Caenorhabditis elegans: one gene and its partner. The protein of the gene in region 2 interacts with the protein of the main gene of each other region in a pairwise test. Each region holds a gene or a part of one and is shown on either strand. Other genes may lie near its edges.

Region 1 (5,641 bases), on a different chromosome or scaffold from region 2:
GGCCGCCGATTACAACTGCCCGGCATGCACTCGAGAGGCTGAAGGCTACGAGTCGGAAGCGTCAGATGTGTCGGGTTCGAGTCGTGTTAGTGTGCAATTAACGTGAGTTCACACATTGTTAGAATTTTCAGTTTTTCGGAAAAATTTCAGACGCGCCGACTATACTCATGTCTTTGAGCTCCTCGAGCTTCTCCTCGAACACCGTATGAGCACACCATTCAGGAACCCAGTAGATTTGAATGAGTTCCCAGATTATGAGAAATTCATCAAGAAGCCTATGGGTTAGTATTTCCGAAACGTCGTCAAACTTTGCATTTGAAATTTTTCAGATCTCTCAACAATAACAAAAAAGGTTGAGCGCACCGAATACCTGTATCTATCGCAATTTGTGAACGACGTGAATCAAATGTTCGAAAATGCAAAAACCTACAATCCCAAGGGCAATGCTGTATTCAAGTGCGCCGAAACGATGCAGGAAGTGTTCGACAAAAAGTTGATAGACGTTCGCGAGCAAATGACCGCCCGTCAACAGATGCTTCTTCTAGCTACTGCTCAACAACAGGACCCGATGAGTTCTATCAGAAAGCGTGTCCAGTCGGAAAGCCAGCGAACTGTCGACTCGTTGGATATCGATTCGGATCAGCTGTTGCCACTGGATGCGAATCTTATGAGACTTTATGATTTTTGAGATTTTTCCTCTTGTTTTTTTATGTTTTTCGTAGTCACACAGTGACTTTTCACTTGTTACGTTGACAATGTTTTGTAAGAATAAAATTTCTTTTCGATTTTCAATGAAAAATGTTTAAAGCACAGGTTCACGGCTAAATAAAAACGTTCCGCTTTATGTGAAAATTCATGACAAATAATCGAATGGAGCAATTTTTGACTCAAACTATAATTTTTAATTACAACACTCTTTAAAGGCGCACACCCGTTTATTTAACAAAAAAAAAATTGTGTCGAGACCGGGTGCCGTATTTTTGGTGCAAAAATCGCATAATTTTGCATAATTTTTTATAATTTTTAGGAAAGAACAAAAAGCGGCAAAATCGACGAAAAATGTATTGAAAGCGTTTGAATTTGCAGTTTTGCCGCCTTGGTTTCCGTTGGAATTGGAGCGCGATTGCACTTTGGTTTCAAAAATTGGTCACGAAACTACATTTTTTAATGCGATAAGGTGCACACCTTTAAAGAGTACTGTACTCTGAAACATTAATTGCTGCTAAATTTCCCCGATTTTAGCTTAGTTTTTCAATAAAAACTCAAATCTAACAATAAAATGCATAATTTTTACCAAATCGTGAGAAAAACTATAGAAAATCGATTAAGTTTATCAGAAAACTAAATGTTTTAACTACAGTACTCTCTCAAGGCGCACACCCGTTCGTACTTAACAAAAGTAATTCGTGTCGAGACCGGGTACTGTATGTTTGGTGGAAAAATCGGATAATTTTGTGTCTTAAAATTATATTAAAACAAAAAAAATTAATAAAAAAGTTTGAACTTAAATTTTTTATTCCCTGTCCTCCCCCCCCCCCCCCCCCGCCTATCAATCTGACGTGTGATCTTGTTCAAAAGTTTATTTATATATATTTTCGGACCATTCGTATAAAGTTGGATGAAATCTTTTGAAGATTGAAACTTCTGGTCATTTCAATTTTTATATCACTTCGTTACAAAATGGATTCCGATCTGAAAAAAGTTCAAAAGAATAGGTAAGCCGGAGCGGTCTTGGAACGAAGAAACAACTTCTATTTTCAGTGATCAGAAACAAGTTTCAAAAAGCAAAACAGCAACTGCGCCAACTGAGCCGTTTAACAGTAAGGCTACTGAGTTGCCGTCAATTCTCAAGCCGAAGTTCCCGTCGGACAAGGTCCTGAAGAAGAAAAAATCCGGTGACATGTTTGATCTTGTAGGACAGATCGTCATCGATATCGTTGATGATAATCCTGACGATGATGACCGACAGGATGAGGCTACAACGGTGGATACTGTACAAGAAGGAATCGGAGCAACGGTCGATGTAACTCTTGTCGTGAGTTTTTGAGGAGCAGAGAGACATTGTTTTAAATGAAAAACAGTGAGCGCTTTTAAGGAGCACAAGAGTCTTTATTGCATTCAAGTTTTTTTTTAGTAATTGGAGAACATGAATCGAATATGAAATAACCGGGTAAACTAAAATTTCAGGAAGACGTCGCTGAAAAAGCACATGAGCCAGCTTCAACTCCAAATGTTGCTGACCGATTGCAAAAACCAGTTGCAAAAGATGATAATAGCGCTCCGGTAGAAGAAGCAAATAGGAAGAAGAAAGAAGGCAAAGACCCCAAGAATTCAGAAGAAGCAAAGAAGAACAGTAAGAAGGGGAAAAACGGCACAGCAAGACGATCCGCGCTGAAAGGAGTCACTATTCCACCGGTGAGCTATCTAGAAAAGGCCAAAAATTTCTGCACGAAGTGGGATTCGAACCCACGCACCCATACGAGTACCAGAAGACCCAGTAAACCATCCGTGCGGTGAGTAACGTGCAGCGAGCGAGAGTATATGAAAAGAATGACAGAGAGTGAGAGAGCTTGCGTATTCAAGAGGCTCCATAGAAAATTGACGAAAAAACACTGGGCTTTTATAAAAATTTAAATTTCCAGGTAGCAGCTTCTTTACCTTGTCCTCCACCCCCACCTCCTTTGAGTGAGCGGAAGAAGAATGTAGGCCCAAAGCCATGCGTTGGTCCAGCACAGAAAAATTTGTCGAGCCAACGGAAGCATAGCTCAAAACGAAACCGAAAAGGGCTCTTGAGAAATGTGGCTAAACTATGGGGCCGAAAGTCGGATGGCATCGCCAATCCGTGAGTTATTCAAACCAGACTGCATCCCTACCGTGAAACATTTTCAGAACTAAAGCAATGCTGTCGAAAAAGTACGTGCCACCGGATTATGGAGTGAACCCTGTCGATTTCATGCCGGACCTTGAATGTTATTTTAGCAAAAACGACATTACTGTTCGTGATAAAAACAAGTGTAGCAAAGGAGAGGTTTTTGTTGAAAAGCTCCCATTTTGGTTGGCACGACTGCCGAGTGACGATGACATTCCGAAGGCTCAAATTCAGGCTCATCGGCCGCTGAAGCAAGCATTTGAAGGAAATCCGTCATTGCTCCTTCCGAAATGCCCAAGAACACTGCCGTTTTGTGAACCGGACTCTGACACACTGGAAAAGTTTAAGCAAGTTGATAAACAGATGGGAACCGATGTACCTGAACAGGCATCGAAAAGATTGTGTACAAACACTTTTTATGGAACCCTAATGTTTGAAAAAGACAAGAGTGCGTCTGAAGAGGTGAAAAAGAAGGTAGACTTTATTGACTAGCAATATATTTTTTGCGAATTTTAAAAGTTTTCAGAAAGAGGAACCAAAGTTGAAGTCTCTCGGAGAAGAGAGTGTGAAAGTGAACTTTAGTTTCCCTCCGAAACCAATCTTGTTTATTTACTCCAGGTAAGCTTGAGACTAAGCCGAAGCCTTATGATTTTTTGCAGAAAAAATCGACCAAGACCACCGGTGAGAGAGGACGACAAAAGCCACAGCTGCAAAAAGTGCCACCCCAAAAACTTGAAACCGGAGCGAACGTTCAAAAAGTGTGAATGGGTGAAAATGAAGAAGGGCGACGAGAAAAAGACTGTGACCAACTCGGCCAACTCGAAATCTGACACGAAATCGGCTTCTTTTTCAGCAGAAGGACGGAAATAGTACTTGTAGCTTAAAATGAATTATTGAAATTGAGGGGAAACAATTTTTCGGAGAAAAACAGGAACTATTATTTAAATTAAAATATTTTCGAGAAACACAGAAACATTTTGTGTAGTACAGTAGTTAATTGAAGGGACCTGCGCGATGTTTTATGCTGGGTCTCGCAACGCGCACACATATAAAATGGCTGTTACCGTAGTTGTTTAAATTTATTTGCTCCGGAATTCGTTTAAAAAAAATTCATTTTTGATCAGTTTATTTCAATAAATATCTCAATTTTTACAGAAAAAAAATGAGTGCACGTGGCCTGAAAGTTGAGATGTACTACAAATTAGCGGAAAAAAATGAAGCAGAGGTAATTTTCGCGTAAATATGTTTTTTTTATTTGAGTTTTTCAGACTAGCGATGTCTCTATACTTATCGACGGACATAAAAGAAAGTTCGCAGTCATCTGCAATGGAATCGGAAGAGAGATGGTGGATTTACACTATGATTCCAAGAAGTTTCCGAGAATTTTGTAAGCCGAACAATTATTTTGTGTTAAATAAATTTTAAAAAAATCAATTTTCAGTTCCCGAGAACGGCATCTCTACGTGATGTTCAGTGAAAGTACCAGCGATGGATTTCGATTGACATTCGGCGCAACAGAACGCGAACAATTTCTGAGAATCATGCATTCATTGGGATGCCTGCTGGACACCGCAATCGTGAAATTCTCCCAACAATCGAGTTCATCCCAACCTCCACCAATGCGTCGAGATTCTACAGCAGTGTTCAACAACAGCTACAATCAATATACTTCATTTCAACAAGCCTCTCAGCCGAGAGTTTTTTCAACCATTAAATTGGAACTTTCTGGAGATTCGTGCAATTCGGCGTTCCAGCCGTCCCAGCCGACTGGATTTCCAGACAACCAATTATTGACGATTAAAAAGTCCTCGTCGAACCAAATAGTAGGAAAGTACCATACTGTTTTCTGTAAAACTATTTTTCAGTCTCTAAGCGTTGAAGTAGCCGACAAATGCATTCAAACTGAGGATTTGGTCGATTTGCTGGCTGACGATGAGTATTGCATGCGAAAAGCACTGAGGAAAATGATCGAAAACCCAAGTTTTATCAAAGCCGTCGCTGCTGCAGAAAATACACTGCAGTATATTCCACAAGCGGAACAAGAGGGATTGGAAGATGTGAGAATATATTTGTCTAAAAACAATGGAAAGAATGTAATTTTCCAGGTCACCGAACCACCAATAAACGATATATTCTTTGATCGTTTTCATCAACCACAGCTTGAGCAACACGATTCTGTTCCAGAAGATTGATTATTTGGAAAAATTCTAAAAATTTAAACTTGTATCATTTGAATCTGTAAATTTTTTTTCAAGTATATTTAAGAAGCATTTTATTAGAGCCTTCGATTATTAGGAAAATCAGACGGAAAATGAAAATACCGGCTCTTCGCGGACCAGTTTAGCTCGGTCTTTAGCCGACAAGCGGGGCGTATCCTTGAGCTCTGTCCAGTGAAGAACAATTTCCTGATCGGATGGACACGAAACTCGAAACATTTCAGTCGCGTAACCGGCTTTCAGATAGTCGAGTACATGCGATAAATCGGCTGGAATTTCATAGTTTTTCAGCATTTTTGCGGCAACACGGATCGAGTGCAATCTCGTCAGGACCAGGCAATCAATATGCGTGACGTCATCGGAGATCAGAAATTTGGTTTCTTGTTCGGAGAGATACTTGTCGAGACGAAGGAGTTCCGTGTTGAAAGCCTGAAAAAATTTTCTAATTTTTCTTCTTTTCCTCAAACTGATTTTGTATTTCAGATTGAATAAAGAGATAAGCATTCAAGACTATTTCGAGAACGAGCGCCAGAGACATTGGAGCGCGCCGTGTCAT
Region 2 (6,521 bases):
TTGATTGGCAAACCAAGCATCTTCATTTTGAGCAAAGTGTGATGGAGAAGGTTTCCGATGTGAAGTAGGTTATGGCGTCCAAATTTCTAAAACTGTTTTACGCTGAGACCTCTTTTTTTCGCTGATTGAAGTGCTTTTTTGTGCCTATAAGTCACACAATACCACCGAATTTGGGCAAAATGCACCTCAATCAACTTAATAAAAGCGTATTTTGTTAAAAGGAAATTTTCAAGATGATTTTGTAAAAAATTCGGTAGCTTTAGAACATATGGATGCTAATTACACGTTTAATTACATTTGTTAAACATTAATAACAACGATTAATTTCAGATTTCTTCATACGGAAAACTTCATCGCAGTCGCCCAAAAAAACTATACTTATGTATACGACAACTTGGGTACAGAACTTCATTGCCTGAAAACCATGTACGACACAGCTCGCCTCGAATTTCTTCCCCATCATTTTCTGCTCGTCGGCTCTTCGCGAAATTCGTTCCTTAACTACGTGGATGTGTCTGTTGGAAAACAAGTTGCCTCGTTTGCAACGAAATCTGGAACTCTTGATGTGATGTGTCAGAATCCGGCAAATGCCATTATTCACACTGGACACACAAATGGAACCGTGTCCTTGTGGTCTCCCAACTCAAAAGAACCACTTGTCAAGATTTTGACTCATTTGAGCGCAGTCAAAGGAATTGCTGTTGATGATCAGGGAAATTATATGGCGACCACGGGTCTCGACAGGAAATGTCGTATTTGGGATGTTCGAATGTTCCGTCAACTTCATGCATATTCACTACCATTTGGAGTGTCGAACGTGGCAATTTCTCAAAAAATGAACGTTGCCTGTGCAGTTGGAAACCATGTACAAGTGTTCCGTGGAATGCATAATGGGACGTGTAAAGAGCCGTATTTGGTGCACAATTGTGGAGGTGTGGTCACTGATTTACGATTTGTTCCATGGGAAGATGTGCTCGGAATTGGACACGCAGGCGGATTCACGAGTATGTTGGTGCCAGGGGCAGGAGATCCGAACGTTGATACGCTCAGATCTAATCCGTACGAAACGAAATCACAGAGAAAGGAAAGAGAAATCAAACAATTGTTGGATAAGGTATGGAATTTATTTTATTCGATTTTGATATTTGAAGTCTGGATGTCAAAAACTCTATTTTTTATGATTTTATCATGAAAATCGAAAGCACCTCACCAATAAAAAAGAAACCTTTAAAAAATTTTCTCCAAAAAAATCTTGATTTCTCTATATTTCATGAAAACTTTAGTTACAAAATTATGTTCAATCTCGAAAAAAATGAGATTTTTTTTGAAAATTTATTTCAGACTACTTGGTTCTAAATTTCACAAAAGTTTTCCACGGAAAATTCGGAGTTTTCTTATACTACAGCAATTTAGAAGACCCTTCTTTGGCAAGCGAAAAAAATTTTTGCAAAAATTGTAATGCTAACTAAATTCTAATTTTCAGATTCAACCGGAGCTCATCAGTCTTAACCCAGACGACATTAACAAGGTCAATGAGGGACTTCTCGAGTTGGAAGAGGAAGAACGAAAGAAGATTCTCTACATTCGTCCGATGGCTGTTCAATATACGCCACGTCACAAGATGCGCAGCAAGAAGAGTGGTTGGAAGATGGAGGCTCGTAAGAATATTGTCAAGGATCAGATTCGAATGGAACGGAATATGGAGAAACATGCGGTGGAGAAGGAAGTTTTTGAAGCACCGGAAGTGGATGACGAGGCTCCGAAAAAGAAACACATTCTGGATCGTCTCAAATAGAAGGATAATCAATTTTATTTTTTGTTGTTGTTGATTTTGCGTTATTTTCGTTTTGTTTTTACTGAATTTTTGAAATTATTTCTTTAAAAGATTTGACATTTGGAAATTTATGAAACGAAGGAAAAAACAAACAGTAAAATAAAAAAGTAGAAACTAGTATGTATTTTATTCGTAATCTTCCTCTTCTCCCTCCTCATCATACTCTTCCTCATCCTCAAAGTCTTCTTCAACCTCGTAGTTCTCCTCCTCTTCATAATCTTCTTCCCCTTCCTCTTCTTTCATAAGATCGTCATTCTTCTTCTGAAGATCCGCAATGATCTTCTTCTGGGCTTCCAACTGCCCCGTCGTCTCGATCATCATCGCCTGGATCTTCAACGTGAGCGCCTCTTCGAATCGATGCTTGTCCTCCAGCTCTTCAAGCCGTTTCATATAGACTTCAGTGAGCTTGTTCGCATCGTCGACCTGTTTCGTGAGGCTCTCGATGGCCATCGTCTTTTTCTTGGATTCTCTAGCAGCACTGTCCAATGCATTAATCGTCAATCTCAAAACACCCTCTGGTGGAATACCAGTTTTCGCTGCTGGCATCAAATTTTTGATTCTGAAAAGTGTTACTTTTTGCATTTGTGCTTGTTATTATGGGGACGCAAAAAATGGTTTTTTGAAATCATCAAGGCACAAGCGCGCTCCAATGATGGGTCTCATTAGGTATTGGCAGGAAACTCGTAAATTCAAACGTTTTTGTTGTTATTATCGATTTTAATGTCGAAATGGTCTTTAAAGATGCATTTGAATAAGGGTTTCTCGTGTATTTTACATGATTTGTTTCGACATAGAAATAGTGGAAAAACTCTTGAAAAAATTTGAATTTCTGATTTTGCCTTCGCCAATACCTAACGAGACCCAACTTTAGAGGCGTTGCGTTTTAACTTGGGTAGGCTCCGAAACTCACCGTTTTTCATTCTCAGGATCTGTGCTCTCACCAAGGTTAGCCACAAGTAATTCGATTCTCAAGAATGTCTGATATGACCTGAAAAAATAATTCGATAAATTTTAGGAACTCAAATTCTTAAAAACTCACTCATCAATTTTCGCATCCCTTTTCTGCTGTGCTTCCCTCAAAAGTTTCTCCAATCGACCAATTTCCTCATTTGCTACTTGTTTTCCTTCTTTCGTCTCCTTTTCAAGATCCGAAATTCTTTCCGTGGCAACTCTCAATTTCTCACTCAAACATTCCACATATTCGACATTCGAATCAGTCTTCTTCGCATCGAAAAGCTCTTTTCGTTGCTCCAAAAACTTTTCAGTGAGCACTTTGAATTGCAAGTTCTTCGCGGCAAGCTCGGTTTGCACATTGCGGAGTTCGATCGAAGCCATTATTTGAATATTACAGACAGAAAAAGGGTGACAACCAGTCGATAGGGACCTGTGCGAGTGAAATGAGACAAGAAGAGGAGCACTGCTAATAGATGGTATCTACCGTAGCAGTTGACCTTTCCAAGAGGTAGACACGTCATCATTGTCTGACATACTATGTTTGCTCTCTCTCTCTCTCTCTATATGGTCTCGAAGGGAAGGAGATTAGGTCATAGGAGACGTTTATTGGAATGAAACACTTCATTAAAAAGGGTAATTAGTGAACTAGATGAGCTAAATGCATATTCAAATTTGTAAAAGGCCACCTAAAATGTTATGCATTGTCAAGAGAAATGGCAGTACTACCTAAACTGTGGCTGTGAAAATTATCTGGATTAATTTTTTGAAACCTAAAGAACGGTCATTGATAGTCAGAACTTTAGTTAATATATTTTTCTTGCATTTTTACATTTTTTGGGTAAAAAAAGGTGTCATGTTCAAAGTTTCCATTAGTTTTCAATATCTGAAGCTCTTTTTACCAAACGTTGAATCAAAAATAGGTGACAGACATTATTCCAATTTCAATTACCAACTTGTATTCTAGGCATTTTCTTTCTGCTACAAACTTTCTGCAACACTTTTTTTTGTGAATATTAACCAAAAAGTTGGCATGACAGACGCCGAATTAAATAGTTGATTGGTCAGATAACTGTATCTTTTTTCTCATGTTATCAGTGAAGCAAGAATCAAAAACTTTCAATAAACCGAAAATAGTTCATTCGAAAAAAAAATTATCTAGAAATTTCAGTTAAGTTTTTGGTAAAAAATTCAAAAATTCAACAAAATTGAACGGTATACGACGAAGGTTTCAAGCACACGAACATTGTTGAGTTGTCAAATGGATAAGTGTATGCACCTGGACATGCATTCTTGAACATCTTCGTTGTAGAGCTCATTGTGCATTTATCTGGAGAATCATACTCCCCACGGCAGCATTCCTTATCAGTTCCATATCCAAGACATCCAGATTTACACCCAACAGTGTAACCTGAACTACTCTTCACTGCAAGTTCTGTAGGGCATGCAGCATTTACATCAGAGATGCATCCACCGGCTCTTTGACATCCCAACCCATCAATTAACATTGGGAGATTGTAACCATCGATTAGATTAACTGCATAAAAGTCTCTTCCAGCCCAAGATTTCAAATTGAATTCTGCGACAGATGCGGGTGGAGTTCCTGTCCTTCCATTGCATTGTTCTGCGTTCTGGAAAAAGTGTAAAACTCTCAAACCTTTTTCATTTTTTTTCAAGACTTCGGGTATTCCCAATTTCGGATGTTTTGAAACTTATTCAGTATATGCGTGTGAATTCTGCGAAACGTTTGAAACTTCCTGTCAACATTTACTGTTGAGAAGCTTGCCCAAAGTTTGGCAGAAAGTAGCAAAAATTTGGCAAAAAGATTATATAGTTTCGACGACCGTAAAACGTGCCCAGAGTTTGACAGAAAAAAGACCAAAAATTTGCCCGAAAATGAAAATGTATTTTGGTAATAGATTTTGGAATATTCATCAAAAAAAAAATGATGTACGTCCTTGACAATTCACGACTTTCAGATATTCTAGAACATCTAAAGTACTTTTTCGTATTTCCCTTTTACACAATTTTTTGGCTGAACTTAAAAAATTGTTCAAAATGTTTTGATCAAATATCCCCAAGTGTTTATTTGTTTCAAAACTTCCATAGAAACTTATACTTTCAAAATGATACACTGTTAAAGTATAGATCTATAGACTTCAAAAAAGTTACATTCAAACTACGGAAAACTCACCAAACAAGTTCCAGTCTCACAATTGAAATCTCCATCACATCCAGTCCGTGCCCAAATCTTTCCATTTCTCCAATCATCATCCACATTTAAATACTTTGCCGCCCACGCATCTATTATTATAGACTACGATTGTCCGGCTGTTCACAGTGAGGAGCAGAGATATAAGTAGAATCCAGATGGAAATCATCTGAAATTTTAAATAATTGCTGATCGATTATGTTTATAAAAATTGTTTGCAAAAATATTCGTAAAAGACTACTGTAGTCAACTTCCCGTAATGTAAAGTGTCTTCCTTACATACTTTCCTTTCCGATAACAAAAGTTTGTCCAATTTTGAACCAACTGTAGCATTGTTCCTTAAATACTCCTCTAGCTGATCTAAAGACCAATCGAGTTCGCACCGCCCGTTTATTTTCAATTGAACATTTCCTGCAGAAACTCCACTGCTTTCTGTACCCATCGCATTTTTCTCAATTCATGGAGTTGATTCCATTTCTGATTACCTTCTGATTGGGACAAATTCGTTATCAGTGAACAGTTCAAAATGAAAGTAAATACGAAATGAGAAGATTATAAAGATTTTTAAAAAGAATTCACCGGAAATGGGCAGAAGAAAACCACGTGGATCGATCAAACGGAAGGTTTCCAACAACTGTTTGTTGGAACATTTTGGATCTAGAGGTCAGATACACTACTGCTACCGCAAAACTCTAATTTGATGACCCAATCTTAGGCGTTTCCTATTTTTAGGTTAACCAATGATTTATGTTTGCAAATAATTTTCCTAACAAATTTTTTTCGGTGCCATGAAATTTCCGTTTAAAAAATTTTATGGATTCCTTTACTCATTTAAACTTCCATACATGTGTAAAAAATTAAAAATATATTATGCAATCGTTTGAAATAGGAAACGGTCAGATTTTGACTTTTGTATGGCAGGTATTCTCCAGAAATTACATTTGCAGTCAATTGATACCGCTCTTCCACATGTTGAATGAAATATGTGATTCCATCTTTGTTCGGAGTTTGTGTTCATTCAGAGATCGCTTTTCCTCGCTTTCGATATGTATGTAGATGTGACTAAAAAAACTTAAATTCAGAATTTCAGAAGTATTCGCTCCCGGAATTCAAACTTTAACATAAATTGAACTCAAACTTGCTCTCTCAAAACATAAAACATTTTTGGTATCAAATTGTGGCTCTAGAACTTTTTAACACTTCTTTCCAGGCGCTTGTTATCTATCACGAGAAGCAATACTGAAACCACAAATCAATTTTATTGATAACAAAACGAGAGTCGTCCAATTTTTGTATGTTCTAGGAAAAGTGCATCTGAAAATAATAGTCTATGGAATTGTAATTTGCTAAGATTAGAACAGCACTCGAATCTGACCCTGGCTAAACCTAAAGTATTAAATACAAAATGTTCATATGGAAATATTGAATCAGAGTTCAAAATTGGATTGTTATTAGAGCTGTGTGGGTTTGTTTACAGTCCTTCAAAAGTTCACATGTCGACATAAATGTCAAATAAAATAAAGC

Evidence for each region.
Region 1: the proteins of atz-1 (region 2) and F26H11.4 interact in a two-hybrid assay, tested with the Caenorhabditis elegans proteins (2 studies listed by BioGRID).

Annotation. Positions count from the first base shown.
Region 1 is NC_003280.10:14,407,071-14,412,711, forward strand, and holds F26H11.4 (ULP_PROTEASE domain-containing protein), read left to right. Parts: upstream 1-1,541; 5' UTR 1,542-1,680; coding exon 1,681-1,715; intron 1,716-1,761; coding exon 1,762-2,035; intron 2,036-2,187; coding exon 2,188-2,415; intron 2,416-2,434; exon of another isoform or gene 2,435-2,498; intron 2,499-2,642; coding exon 2,643-2,842; intron 2,843-2,889; coding exon 2,890-3,343; intron 3,344-3,395; coding exon 3,396-3,487; intron 3,488-3,528; coding exon 3,529-3,739; 3' UTR 3,740-3,772; downstream 3,773-5,641. Other genes in the region: nurf-1 (DDT domain-containing protein), read left to right, coding at 1-102, 151-281, 330-688; dsb-2 (Double-Strand Break factor), read left to right, coding at 4,032-4,094, 4,138-4,256, 4,311-4,692, 4,735-4,926, 4,975-5,061; Chloride intracellular channel exl-1, read right to left, coding at 5,170-5,514.
Region 2 is NC_003282.8:12,372,885-12,379,405, forward strand, and holds atz-1 (Protein atz-1), read right to left. Parts: upstream 3,238-6,521; 5' UTR 3,170-3,237; coding exon 2,874-3,169; intron 2,823-2,873; coding exon 2,745-2,822; intron 2,394-2,744; coding exon 1,961-2,393; 3' UTR 1,797-1,960; downstream 1-1,796. Other genes in the region: wdr-46 (WD repeat-containing protein 46), read left to right, coding at 1-64, 331-1,114, 1,484-1,795. UniProt on the Caenorhabditis elegans protein: Plays a role in meiosis, germline development and oocyte morphogenesis. May play a role in DNA replication.